Oreochromis niloticus: one gene and its partner. The protein of the gene in region 1 interacts with the protein of each later gene in a pairwise test. Links are inferred from orthologs where the notes say so. Each region holds a gene or a part of one and is shown on either strand. Other genes may lie near its edges. The genes, in order: dnpep and mpp1.

Evidence for each region.
Region 2: the proteins of dnpep (region 1) and mpp1 interact in binary tests that used the Homo sapiens proteins (3 or more experiments, as listed by UniProt). The two-hybrid records come from large-scale screens. The link is inferred for Oreochromis niloticus from reciprocal best matches to the Homo sapiens genes DNPEP and MPP1.

Annotation. Positions count from the first base shown.
Region 1 is NC_031986.2:20,304,897-20,312,208, reverse strand, and holds the start of dnpep (aspartyl aminopeptidase), read right to left. Parts: upstream 3,046-7,312; 5' UTR 2,911-3,045; coding exon 2,905-2,910; intron 2,825-2,904; exon of another isoform or gene 2,685-2,824; intron 2,556-2,684; coding exon 2,465-2,555; intron 578-2,464; coding exon 489-577; intron 1-488.
Region 2 is NC_031975.2:8,705,930-8,713,416, forward strand, and holds the start of mpp1 (55 kDa erythrocyte membrane protein), read right to left. Parts: upstream 3,020-7,487; 5' UTR 2,717-3,019; coding exon 2,594-2,716; intron 1-2,593. UniProt on the Homo sapiens protein: Essential regulator of neutrophil polarity. Regulates neutrophil polarization by regulating AKT1 phosphorylation through a mechanism that is independent of PIK3CG activity.

The DNA of each region.
Region 1 (7,312 bases):
CTCAGCTGTTATAGAGATTCACCAGAATATCTTAAAGGGTCATTTTTTCCAAAATAAAAGGTCCCCAGTTACTTTTGGGAAATTATAAGGACATTCAGACATATGCAAAACTTTGAAAATTAAACCCCTCAATTGTTGCAGAAAATGAATAAAATTATAGAAATAAGATAATTTTCCTGCGTATTAAAAGTCTACCTGACATACACACAACACAGACAAGGTAAAGGACTTCAGAAATTATAGAAATTTACCAGGATACTTTAAAGGGTCTCTTTTTCTCAAAACAAAATCTAATGTCAGAATTTCAAAACAAAAGCCCTAGACTTTTACAGACATTTATCATTATACTTCCAAAATAAACGCCCTTGGTTAGTTAGTGAACATTGTCAGATTTTCCAAATAAAAATTCAGAAATTTCAGCATATACAGTTGAGAGTGCAATCTTGTGCAAACCATTTAGATTTCCGTTCTACTACTTTTTACCCCACCTTGCTGGCTGGCTTGATGTCCCACTGCTCCGTCTCCTTGAGCTCGATGAACCCAGCCTCCAGCAGATGCCGGCGACATTCTTCAACCACTGCAGGGCGAGAAAGCGGAGGAGACATGAAGTTTATTTGTTTCTGTTAAAGTCAAACTGATCTTTGCAGTGTGACTACATGCCTTACTGTCAGTGCTGGGCGTTGTTTGTCATAGTTACTTTTCAACGCTGACAATAGTACTGAGACAACAGAGTCTGAGTTTTAGAGACCTCACTGTCACATTTAATTACTCCTTAGTAAATCAATGGGAGCCATTTTTCAGCTGTTTTTCAAACTAGTGAAAACTCAGATTTTGTTAAGCCTAAAATGAGGTAGAGATGAGTTTCAGAGCAAAGACATGACTTTTAAGTGTCTATCTCTTCTCAACCAAGTGTATGAAACCTAATTAGAAGATGCTAACAATTCAATAATTAAATTACCGAAATAAACAAAAAACAAAAAAAAGTGCAAAACTTTATTACCTTTTGCACTTTATTCCTGTTATGGGACTGAAAACTTATTTTAATTCTTTGGTTCTTTATTTGTTGTTGGGGACAGAGTTCAGAGTTCAGAGGGCAAAGGTTGTAGACATGATGAAATATCTGTTCCATCTCAATCTTATCTCTCTGGCTCAAAGGCGATCTGAACTGCATCTCAGCTGGTTAATGCTGACACATGAGAGCCCGTTTATGCTCTGATTACAGCAGAGAGACACTCGTTGTCTTTCCTATCAAACTCAACCTGCTGCCTTCTCCTCACTGATTCTCACTGGTTTTAAAGCACAAAAGCAACAAACTGTCAGCATAAAACACTCGGTCGGAGGAAAAACAGGTGTCAAATTTAAAATTACACCACAAAGAAAAGAGTGGCACACTTTGGACTCCTATAATGCATGTGTCATACACAACATACTGAACTGGTTGGTATGTGGCTGGACCTGCTTTACTGCAGTTGTTTTACTTACTTTGCTTGTTAAATGAACTTTATTAAATGAGAAAACTTTCTCTTTAGAGTCAGAAAATAAACCTCAGATTCCAGCTGTGCATTTATTATAAAAGCAATGGTAAATTCAAATAAATGCTTAATTTTTCAATAATTTCAATATAAATAATTTTCAATAATAATTTCAGTAGATTTCTGTTAATTTAATGGTGTTTTTTCTTTTTTTTTACCTGTTTAAGTATTTCCCATGTATTTGTTTCAGTTTTTTCTTTTGTAAATTTACCAGTTCTTTCTCAGAAATTTCCCCTTTTTTAATTTTTAATTTTGCCAATATTCTTGAAAATTGCCTTTTTTTCCTCATGAATTTGTAGGAGGATTTTTTTTCTAAAGCATTTTTTATTTTTTTGTCTACCTTGCTAGAATTTTATTTATATCTTTTTCTTATGAATTACAAGTTTTTCCTTGTAAATTTGGTAGTTCTTTCCCTCATAAATGGGTGGCAATGTTTACCACATGCACATTTTTTGTGTAAATTTGCAATATTAATCTTGAAATTTCCAAATTTCTTTTCCTCAAATCTTTAGCCACCTCATCCAGCTCCTTTCCCCCCCCCATTTATTCATTTACCTTCTGGGGCCCTAATGTACTGCCAATGTAAATATGCGAGTAAGACTCAATAAGCGAGCTACAACAGCCATGCACCAGCAACATTTTTAAAAAGTTGGACTTTTTCTTATTATGCTTACTATGAACTAAACATGGTCGCCGAATTAAAAGCCTGCTTCTGGCAACACAGAGAAGGTTTACAATAATACTTTACCTCATATATACGGGTGCTGACCTTAAACAGGACTTTAAATTCAAAGATTTATGAACGGAGTTTGGTTCGGTACAGTTTGGAACTTGAAAAAAAAACCCATTAAACGCTGCCACGTACGTGAGTTCCATATGATACAGATTTTATTACATTTGAAGGGATAAATCCAGAGTTTTGCAGACTTTACCGTGATATGGAGACACTCCTCTGTTGACAAACTGCAGAAACTCTTTGGCTGCTGACTGCACGGCCTCTTTGGAGCTCTTCATGATCAGCGACTAAAGGGGAAAAAGTATAAAAAGTGTGAAAAATGTGCGCAATAAAGAACAACTTGATCATAGTAAACGAGACAGCAAAGCTAGCAAGATCTTAGTAATCATGACAAACAACTAGCAATAGCCAGATACCGGCCTCTAGTTTCAACTTCGGACTGTAAGTTGAGTTTTTATGCAGGATCTGTTTTTGTCCGATAATGGAACTAACTGTATTTTGCTAGCTAACCTAACCAGGACAGCCCGAGCTTTCAGCGTCTGTGTCAACTGTGTCGACTAAAGTCAACACAGTTGTAGGTGAGGAAGCACCGCCTCCACGTGACGCATCCACAGTAATCATTGTTATGGCACTTACCTGCATTAACCGGACTTTGATATTATGAAGAGGTACAAAGAAGACGAGCAGCGACAGATTAGCTGACAGCGGCGGAGAAAGGGAGAAAGGTGCAGAGTCACAAACAGCGCAGCAGCGACATCCAGCGGCCAGGAGGCGCAATGGAACAGTCACTCTCACAGGACTCTGCTTTCAGACTAATTCCTTCATTTAATTATTAATATCAGTCATTACACTTTATACTGGGTCACTTTTATGAGATATTTTACTTTATCATATACTGAATGGACATTTTTTAGGTAGACTTTGCTAGTACCAAATTGGAGCCACTTTTTGCCTTTGGAGCTGCTTCAATGCTTCACAGCATAGATTCAACAAGGTGCTAGAAACATGACAGCATCACAGAGATGCTGCAGATTTGTCAGCTGCACATCCATGATGACAATCTTTTGTTCCACCACATACCACAGGTGCTCTATTGTTGACTGTGGAGGTTATTTTAGTACAGTTAGCTCATGTTCAAGAAACTAGTTTGACATGATTTAAGCTTTGTGACATTTTCTCCCTCATAAATGCAGCTCACTGGATATTTTCTCTTTTTCTGACCATTGCCTGTATACTCTAGAGATGGTTGTGTGGGAAAATCCCAGCAGATCAGCAGTTTGTGAAATACTCAAACCAAGAACCATGCATCCCCATCCAAACTTAAATCATCTTTCTTCCTCATTCTGATGCTCAGTTTGAACCTCAGCAGGTCATCCTGACCATGTTTAGATACATTTGGGAATTGCTTTAATATTATTGGCTGATCAGATATTTGTGTTAACACCCACACAGCTACAGAGAAAATCAGCACAGCAATCAGCTGTTTTAAAATAATACCAAAAGCAACAGCATCCAGAGGCTTCAGATACTGACAAGAGCTTAAACTAAATTCCTAAAATCCATCATTTTCTGTCTTTTTGCAGTGCCAATAATAGATTTAAAATTGCAATGCATTGTTGAGACTTCTGTGTTTCATTAGGCAGACTAAGAGAGCCAAATCGCCCTCTTTTTTGTTCTCATTTGGTTTTATTTTCTATCTGGAGACCTCTGTGTTTATGCTCCATCCCCCCACCATGCTGCCATTCATCACTGTATCACCAGGGGAACCATCCTTATATAGTCCTGAACACTGAGGGAGGAGGAGGAGGAGGAGGAGGAAGAGGAGGAAAGGCGGAAAATGCTGTAGAGAGGTTTACTTCAGCTGTCAGCTCTTGAGGAAGCCCAGAGGGATGAAAATACATAGACTCACACATTCGCATTCAGACTTTATTAATAGATGTGAGATCAACAAGCTGCAATGGAAGTGCTGAACGCATTCAGATCGTATGGGATTTAGAATAGTCTTCACACAGAAAATCACAGGATAGATCAATTAGGGAAAGCTTACAGTTATGTTTTAAAGTTAGGCGACCTCTAGTGGCCAGAGTGACAGAGTGGTTGTGAAATATATGTAGAGTAGTTACCTTCAGACTGGACTGGATAAGTGGTAGAAAATAGAATAACTACTGGTTCTTAGATAGTTAGATAGTTGATTCTTAGACAGATTCTTCTTTTGCCAAAGTTCCTCCAAGGTTTGATCAAGTCATTTTTTGTGCAATCCTGCTGACAGACAATAAACAAATCAAACAAACATGCAACAAAAAACAAAGTTAAAAGAAAACTTAGAAAACCCCAAACAGCAGTAACGTCACTGAAGTCTTTCCACCGCTTAAGTGCCTGAATGGTTGGATGGATGAAAAGATGCACTTGAAACTGTCATGAAACGGCTGTGGCAGGCAGGAGGAAGGACCCAAATGCAGAACTCAAAACACAGGGATGAACTGAATGAGGCTGCTTTATTGCAGTGGAACAACTTACACTTACAACACCAAACCAAAACCTAGAAACTAATAACAAAAAACGGGGAAACCAGGGCCGGCGAGTTCAGGGAGCACAACAGGAGAAACCCACACAGCATGAGGGGACAATACAACACTGACAGAGAGAAACACAGGGCTAAAATACACTGAGGGATGAGAAGGGAATGGGACACAGGAGGAGAGCACAGCTGGGACTGATCACACTTGACGAGACTAAAGGGCGTCAAGGCTAGAGACACAGACATGAGACAAGGGACCGTCAAAGTAAAATGACACGAACACAAGGGGAGCACAGAGAATACCTAAACACTGGAAGAAAAATAACAAAAAAAACAGAAAACTCTAAAAAATTAATAAACACAAAACATAAACATGGAGTCACCAGACTTCGGACCATGACAGAAACACAGAAAACTGAGTTGTTTAACATAGTAAAAACGAGTTTGTTCCAGTTCAAACCATGACATTTTCTAATCCTATCAACATACAACATGAGCACTTAACTCCAGTTCCCTACTAGAAATGCACTGCTCTCATCAATCAGGAATGCCTGCATGGAGAATCAAAAACTGCTGTGACTTTTCATTTGGAGGATTTGTTGTTAGAATAATTTCTTGGTATGAGCATCAGGCCATAATTGCAATCACTTAATAACAATAATGATAATAACTAGACGTGCTAATGGACCTGAATAAATTAAAGGCCTCATTGCCTTTAGTTTCCAGTTTTGCTCTTGGAGAGGACACTAATGACCTACCAGAGGGATACATTTCTAGGTGCAGGTCAAGGTGCAGTATATTAAAATAAATACTCCAAAGGTGAGCAATGCCATGAACTATATAAACAAGATGTAGCACATCCAGGTGGTGTTGTGTGGTTTGATAACCACAGGTAGGAAAGATTTGCTGTAGTGCATCATGGTGTAAAGACTTTTTCTAAACTGTCCAGCGCCTCATTGAGACAGTTTGAAGGCTTATCAGTGTTTCTTACACCTTCATTAAGGAGTCAAGCTCCATTTCCACAACCTTACTGACCTTGTAGATAGGTTTGTTAGGTCTGTTAGCATCTGCACCGTCCACACCAGAGCATGGAGGGTGGTGTTGGCCATAACAGACCCAACATTCAGCTACACGAGCTCAACAGTCAGGTGGAAGGATGAGGATTAAGTCTATTTTCATGGCAATTCAGTGGACTGACTAATCTAAATTGATTTATTTACAGACTTGAAAGAAAACTTAAAAATATAAATGTAAAAAAATCTGTTTTTTTCCAAAAGCTGGTGGTAACTTGTGCTAGCTGAGTCTACAAAAGACTATGAATTTGATTCATTTCATACAGCCACAATAGACGTAATAATAGAAGTCTACAAGAATAATCATTAAAATGATTAATAAAAACAAATCTGAGAAATGTGTTTCTTCCTGTTAACCTGGTCAGAAATGAATGTGTTAACTGTTTCTACATTCACGTCTGATTAGCTTAATTATCTGACAAAAACATGATGGGATGACAGAACTTTTCCTAATCAAAGTTCATATGGTTATTAGACTTCTGCATAAATGTTTGGTGACAGGGGAGGAAATGACATTCCTGAAAAAACTACTAAACTAAACAGTAAAATACAAAAAGAACAACAAACCAAAACTATAACCAGGATCGAAGGAAAAGCAAAACATGACGCAACAAACAGAAAGAATAACCAGAAAATATCTAAAACAAGAACACCCAGAGTGCGCACCTCCACCTGAAGGGCAAGGGTTATACTAAAACTGATGTTTTATGATGTTCTTATTATAACATGCTGACGTTAGCCTGTTACAGTGTCATTGTCATGTTGTAGAGCGTCGGATTGAAAATATAAAACATGTATTGAACAGCTCTCTTCATGCCCTTTCATATCATATTTTCCTTGATATGGTTTACTTTGACCTTGGGCGCTAGCAATGAAGGTCAAGATCAAACGCTTAGCCAACCTCGGCATTCGTGTCCCCCAAGGAATAGTGTATTGGTGTGAAGTTTGAAGATGACCTCGAGCTGATTATCCCCAAAATGAAATCAGCTCGAGCTGATACCTTAAAAACTGTGGACACTTGACTGCTAACAAACAGACAGACAAACAGACAAATGGAACTGAAACTAGAAAAGTCCATAAGCTCAAGACATTGGGTCGATGACCAAGGACCAGATGTGATAATCTTGATTTTATTTTGCACCTGCCGACATGAATTTGACATTTTGAGACTAAATTATACAAAGACACACCAGGGAACACAGGGAAATCCTACAATGACACAGAAAACAGACAGGTATCAATAAATAAGATTTCTGTTAAAAAGAAAAAGAATCCTTTGTCAGATAACCCAAATACTCATGTTAAACTCTCTTCTTACGAAGACAGCAAAAGAAGCTTGAGTGGATTAAACCAGCATCACATTTCACACTTGTAATGTCTGCTTTGCAACTACATCTAAAAACTATTTTTAAAAATGTCAGCATTTCATCACCACAAAGCTAAATATTCTAAC
Region 2 (7,487 bases), on another chromosome or scaffold:
CTCGTCCAAGTTATTTCCAGAGTGTAAGCATCGCCGTAAGAGAAGAAATCCACGTAGCTCCCCTGACAAATCAAGACACTACGGAATTACATTAAATCTACTGAGTACAAGATAAGATACCACGTAATGACTCTGTGAGAGTAAAGTGCCCTCCAGGATCGGGCAGTGAGTGCACCATATCAAAGCTTTTATAATTCGTTCACTTAACTGACATCAGAGAGATGATTGCCTGCATCAGCAAACTTTCTTGCGTGAATATGACACATCAGCACTGCTTCAGCAAAAAAAAAAAAAAATTATCTACCTTCCAGCATCAGCATTACAATAATCCAATCGTTATCACTGTCCACCTCACCAATAACTTTAGCTGCTCTAAAGCCACCTCTGGGTTTAGAAACTACTGCTGCACTGATGAGCCTCATGGCCAGATGCAGGAGCCATGACAGCCAGTTAGGTCTCTCTGAGGTGTGATAGTAATTCATGAGCAGTGTGTGCTGTTAGCCATCAGGAGTGATCAGCATCAGGAAGGAGTGAAAAGCTGATTTTGTAAAACGTGCAGCCATTTATTAAAAAACAAAAAATCGCGATATTCCGATACACGATATGTATCTTACTTCTCATTTCACATTCTTATACTTAGAGTGATTCATTTCACACACAAAAAAGAATCCGCAATAATGTCTGGAGTAATCCGCTTACTCACAAATCAGCTGAACGTGTCTGAAGAAAGTAGCAGAAATGTCTCTGATCTCTTGAGGGATTAGATTTAGACTAGCACTAAAGGGTCCTTTTAATAAAACCCACCTCATCAATATGTTGACAGTGAGCTCTGTCAGCTCCACCACTTGGAGTGTAACAAGATCAAGATTTAATTAAAGGTTTGAGCCGTGCTTCAGTAACTGGTAACAAGCTATCCTTCGACAAGTATGGTCAGGAAGTCATGGCCATAGTTTTAATGCTGGTTTCAAGTTTGGAGGAGCATCAGGGTAAAGAAAGAGCGTTCAAAACAGCGGCTTGTCTCTTCAGGGTGAAAAATAGAAGGTGACAGGCGTGTAGAGGAAGACCATCAGTGCCAAGATAAATGAATTCACCATAAAAATCTATAGCAGTTGTTCCATTCGCTTTTCTGCACACAGTTGGGTTACTGGTCTAATATAACACAGAATAGTTGATTATACTTTATCTTTCTTACATGATCTGCTGTTTTTAACTAAAGGAATATTAATCATCAGCCCTCCCCAATGTAGGGTTTACGGCTTTTTGTTTTCCTTCTATTGATCTCTTGGAAAAATACAGCAGGAGATTAATAGTTGACATTTGAACACTGTGTGGTTAATGAGCTTTCCACAAAAAAGGAGAAAAAAAGAAGAAAGAACTGCCAAAAGTTCTGTGTGTCCCGCTTATCAACTTGCCCCAACTTGTCTTAAGACCTTAAATGCATGATTGTCTAAGTAGGGCAGTACACAGTTATTAAGCCTGAAGTATTAGAAGCATAACTCAGTGCAAAGGAGCAAAAAATGACAGAAAAGAATAGAAAGTAAGAAAGACACAATATATGATTAATCATCCTTAAACAAACCATTTAGAGACCTCAGTTAGAGACATGCTGATTAACACAGAGCAGAAGGATATGTAGGCAAGATTGCAACTCAAGGCTACTGAACTGCAAACTGCTGATGTCAGGAATAAAGTTTCCTCTCTTTCACATTTCCCTCAGTGGCTCAGTGCTGACTTTTCAAATTCTGAGAAGGCACCGGTCTCCTGCTGGAAATCAAATCCAGGTCTAAAGTGTGCCAGAGATTTAACTCTGGCTTTGTCCCTTCCGACATATTCTACATGTTTTCTGGAACATCTTTTCAGTCATACTTGTTAGCTTAGTCTTTGTTAGAGGTAAAGACAGTATTTCCATGACATAGTCAAGGATCTTTAAGGGGAGGAAAACGCAAACAAGTTTAACAGTGTGCTTGGCAGTGTGGTGTAAACAACCTTCACTTGACTGATTCCTGAGCAGGGGCTCAGGGTAAGCTGTAAGCAAAATTACACAATATGTTTCAAAACTGTATGAAGGCACAGTCCCAGAAAAGACTTCACAGCTGACAAGTTACTTCTTTATGATTTTATTGCCGCTCTTAAATGTGTTCATATCACTATAAGCCCAGCTGGTTAATGAGACAGTTCATACTACTGTGTGAAATACAGGAACATAGTCTTATGATGGCTAAAAAAAACCAAAAACCCCTTCCCTAATGTTTTCCCCAAGTTGTCAAAATACTTGCGTGAATTTGTGAGAAATGGAGAACTGAAACTGCCACAGCAATGTCTGCTGATTTCAAGCTGAGGCTGACCGATAGTGCTGAGTAATGCAGAAGCTGCTAACACAGTAAAGATCTAAATGTTCTTTGTTTAAGAGATCAACACATTCAGCTGCTGCAGTATGAAAACATAAACGGGTCTATTCTTAGAGATCTTGTTCGGAAATAAACAACGATCACATGTCCCCGTATCTGCTTCCCGGAAGCAAATAAGAACAGCGAAATCAGAGGGGTCTAAATAAATTAATAAGGTATATATATACAAAAAAAGATCATCTTACCTTGTCAGACTTTGGTTTGTTTTGAAGGAGCTGCTCCAGGTAGAGATCGGAAAGGGCTGTCCGGACGCTGTTCACGGACTCCAGTGTGACAGTGGGATCGTTTTTATTGGATTTTAACGTCATCTTTCCCGTTAAATAAAAAAAACACAGTGAACCCGATTTGCCCCCTCGATCAAAGTCCTCAAGACACTGGCCACAAACTGCTGATAAGGAGTGACTATGAGATAAGTCACTGTCGGAGATAAGAGTCCAAAGATCTGATCAGCAGTAGGTGAGGTTCATGCGATAACTACTGCAGGGACACCGCTGACAAAGCAAGTAAACATGCATCTGACTGCTGCTGTGCTCTGAGGGGCTGGCTGCTGATGCGTTCAAGGTCCCCGTGTGAGCTCAGGAATCTCACAATTAAAGTTCTTATCCCAAAATGAGCTGAAATCAGGGAATTACGAACGATACTGTAGCGCTTCTTATTGTTATTTCCTTTGGATATTTCTACGTTGGCATCGTATATCCCTATTGATCTATAGGCTTTCTCTAAACTGCGGTGTTTATTCAAACATCATCTACCTATGCGTCATAGAAACCTATTTAAAGATTCTTTGTTTCTTTTTCGTTTATACAGTTCAATTAGTACAAAACTAATTCGAAACCGGTGCTAAATAAGCCTTTGGAATCTGATGGGCCAACACGGAAATCAATTTCCATTTTGAGCCCAACAAAATGCTAAATATCCCACAGGCTGGGAATGCAACATTACCGCAGCATTTTCAGCAGGGCTACCCTCTCAGGCTACAGGGGAAGCAAAAAATAACGTAGTCCCGGTGATTCCAACAGCTAGCTTGCAAGAACTTCAGTTTGGAACACAGTGTACCCAGCTGCAGTGTGATAGTCTCTCTGTGCTAATTTAACAAACAAACAAACAAACACTAAAAAAATAATCAGTGGGAAAGTAGAGTGATCCTATTACTGATACATTACTGAGTGATTACAGATGACATCAGTGTTGCAACATGGACACTGCATGTGATTAGGTTTAATACATTGCAGCTGTAGGAGACTGTGAGCAGGAAACCCCGTCCTTAAAGTGGCCTGTCTATTTCCACTGTGTACACATACAACATATACAAGCATGTATGCAGTCTTTTTTTGACAGATGAACTGAGGGCTGGTTCACAAAAACACATGGATTTCATCTCCTTTACTGTTTTAATGTACTTTAAATAGATTTATATTATACCGCTTTCAATTCAATTCAGTTTCACTATATCTCAAGGAGCTTTATATTGCAAGTAGACCACAATAATAAATAGAAAACTCGAATAATCAGACAACCCCCTAGCAGAGAGCACTGGGTGACAGTGGGAAGGAAAAACTCCCTTGATAAAAAGAAACTTCCAGTAGAACCAGGGAGGGGTAGCCATCTGCCGTGAAGAGAGCATAGGACAAAAGACACACATGGGAGACAGCCAGAGTTTAAAATTAATGATGAAATACAGCATGGAGAGTGAAACAGAAGTGAGTGAAGAAGAAACAATCAGTGCATCATGAGAAGCCCCCAGCAGTCCAGAGCTATTGCAGATTAACTAAGAGAGGGTTCAGGATCACCTAAACCAGCCCCAATTTGTTGAAATAGGAACATTTTAAGCCTAATCTCAGAAGAAGAAGAGTATGTGTCTGTCTCCGAAATGCAAACTGGGAACTGGTTCCACAGAAGAGGAGGCTGAAAGTTGGCTGAATCTTCCTCCCCTTACCGCCAACCAGTCATAGCAGATGGCTGTCCATCTCTGAGCTCAGTTCTACTCCCTGTTTAAATGGAGTTTTTCCTTCCCACTATCACCAAATGCTTGCTCACAGGGGTCATCTAATTGTAGGGGTCTTCTCTCTATTATATAGGGTCTTACCTTACAATATTGGTACATAATGGCGTTATATCAATACAGCAGAATTGAATTGCATTGAACAGAGAGAATAGCCCTGTACACTCAGAATTCATCCTACTGCTTCTATCAGCCGTCACATCATCAATTCCATTGCATTCCATTATACATGCCTTCCTAAGGTTATACTATTAGAAAACACTGCATAAATTTTCATTGCTATGCTGATGATTCCCAGCTTTATTCATTCGTGAAGCCAGAAGATACAAATCAACTAGCTAAACTATAGACATCTCTTAAAGATATAAAGGTCTGGATGACATACTTTTCTCTTCTGATCATTCTGATACAATTTGTAAATGGAAAATTGTACTTAGTAGTCAGTATAAGCTTTTAATGATATAAGTTTAATTATGATAGAATACTGCATGATGACCTTTTGATGACTTAGCCTGTTGCCCACTACAAGACCTGTTTCTGTTTTATAAATTCTTTCTCACAGCGATAATAGCTGAACAAGCAGGAAAGAGGAGAGCTGGACACTTTTATCTGCGCTCCCTAACAAGAAGAGGGGCCGCGTCCTTCTGAATCTCACAACACACACACATACACCTGAACCACTCTTATCTTCACGCACTAACATTCCTCTGCCTATGAATAGACGTATTCACTGTTGTATTGCTTTGTATATAAATAAAGACCAGAGCGGTAACAGAGCACTGATCACAGGGCCCCCACTCTGATGTGAGCGTTCTGTGACCGCCCTTGCAAGTAAAGATCTGCAGTGTGTGTCTTCACTCTTAGACTCTCAGCTGAAGAAGTGTCATTTAGAATGAATCTCTTGACACAATTAATCCTGGTTTTATCCATAAAATTTTTTTTATTCATTTATTTTTCAAAAATATATATTTCAGATGTTTCCTGGCAAAGAAGATGAGAAATTGTCTTTAAAAGGTATGTACTTCTCCACAATGGAAATCTTATAAACTGGAAATCCATCCATCCATTTTCTTCCGCTTATCCGGGGCCAGGTCGCGGGGGCAGCAGCCCAAGCAGAGAAGCCCAGACCTCCCTCTCCCCAGCCACCTCCTCCAGCTTGTCCGGAGGCGTTCCCAGGCCAGCCGAGAGATATAATCTCTCCAGCGTGTCATGGGTCTGCCCCAGCACCTCCTCCCGGGACCTGACAAAGAGTGATTCAGAAGACCCCTATGAAAATACCATCGAGGGAACAGTTCACCCTGTCCGGGATAGAGTTACCGGGGCCCCGCCCTGGAGCCAGGCCCGGGGAGGGTGCCCGAGGGCGAGCGTCTGGTGGCCAGGCCTTAGTCCATGGGGCCTGGCCGGGCACAGCCCGAAAAAGGGACATGGGCCCATCTTCCTGCAGGCCCACCACCCACAGGAGGCACCGTAGGGGTCGGGTGCAATGTGAGCTGGGCGGCGGCCAGGAGCAGAGGTCCTGGCGGACCGATCCCCGGCTACCAAGACTGGAAATTAAAAGATTAAATTAAACCATATTAGACTTTCCAATCATTTGAACCATATAGAAGTTACCAGGCTATTTCATAATGTGGAATGTCATGATAATAATTTCATGATATTCAAAAGTTTAGATGGATAGTGAAGGCTGATGGGTTTGTAGTGTTATGGTGGATGGACTGTGGTAGGTTAGGTCGTGGGTAACTACAGAGATATTATAAAATAGAGAGAGCAGTGAAAGAACTGTGAATTGTATTGGAGACTTTTGTGACAGCAAAGATGGTGGTAAAAGTTTTAAAAGTTTATTTGAGGACAACATCAGAAAACTTTTTAGCATTTAATTTGATCAAATTTGACTTGACATTGTATGCATGCAGTTTTTATTTCCCGCTGAGCATTAAAATAAAAGTTAAATAAAAGTGCCCAGATGTTGCAGCATGGCTGCTGACTAACGGGACTTGCTTCCAGAAGGAGTCATCAATCCGAATATAAGAATTCCAAGTTTGACCTTTATACCAGCTGTTTAGAGTCGTGTCCCATCTGGTGTTTCTGTGTTGGGCTAAATAGGTGTTTCTGTGTGTTTTTTTTTTTATGTGTGACATCTTTGCTTATATTATTAAATATACTGTAATCAACAGGATTTATGAAAGGTTATTATATATTTAAAAAAGACCTGTTTTTAAGGGTTTTTTTTATGTCTCTGCAGTGTTGTACCCCATTATTATCAACCCAGTCCCTTTTGACCACTCAAAATATCTTTATAAAACTTTTTTTTTTTTTTTTTTACATTTATTTATTTATTTATTTATTTATTTATTTATTTATGCAATTCCTGCCCTCTTGGGCTGATCTCTCTTAAAAAGCCATTTTTAATGTCAGTGATTTTTACTGGAATAAATAAAAGATATATAAAAGTATCTTTTAAAAAAACAACAACAACAACAACAAAACAGATTGCGGCTTCTATATTGTGGCAAGGATATTGTTTCTGGCTCAAAGTGACTTGATATCATTCATGAAATATATATTTGACATATGTTTCACAGATTATAGGCCCACAAGTTATTTACAAAAGTTTAAATACGGACAAAAATTCTTTGGCAAATACCGGAAATCACTTTTTGGAACTTAAAGTTCCCCCACCTGCCAAAACCCTCTTGTATATGCAAAGTATAAACAAACCACGTGCTGCCAACTCTTCATTGCGTGGCACAAAAAACAGTGTGGTAAACAGGAGGCAAGAAAATAGGTATTAAGCCAGCTAATGAGTTTAAGCTCCCCGATGGAGTGCCAGTTTCAACTCCAGAGGGAGCCAGCAAGCAGGTTTTTATCAGCTGTCCACTCACTAACATGACCCGGACTCTTACTGTCTTATAAAGGGTCAGCAAGCTACATTTGGGCTTCATTTCTGTTTCTCCTGCAGATATCCATCAGGTTCATAAAAAGGCTTCCTATCGCCGAACTTACTGGAAAATAATCTTTCAACGGCACATTTACTGAAGGTGGTAAACTGTGCCATCAAACGCTCTGCCATTTAACAT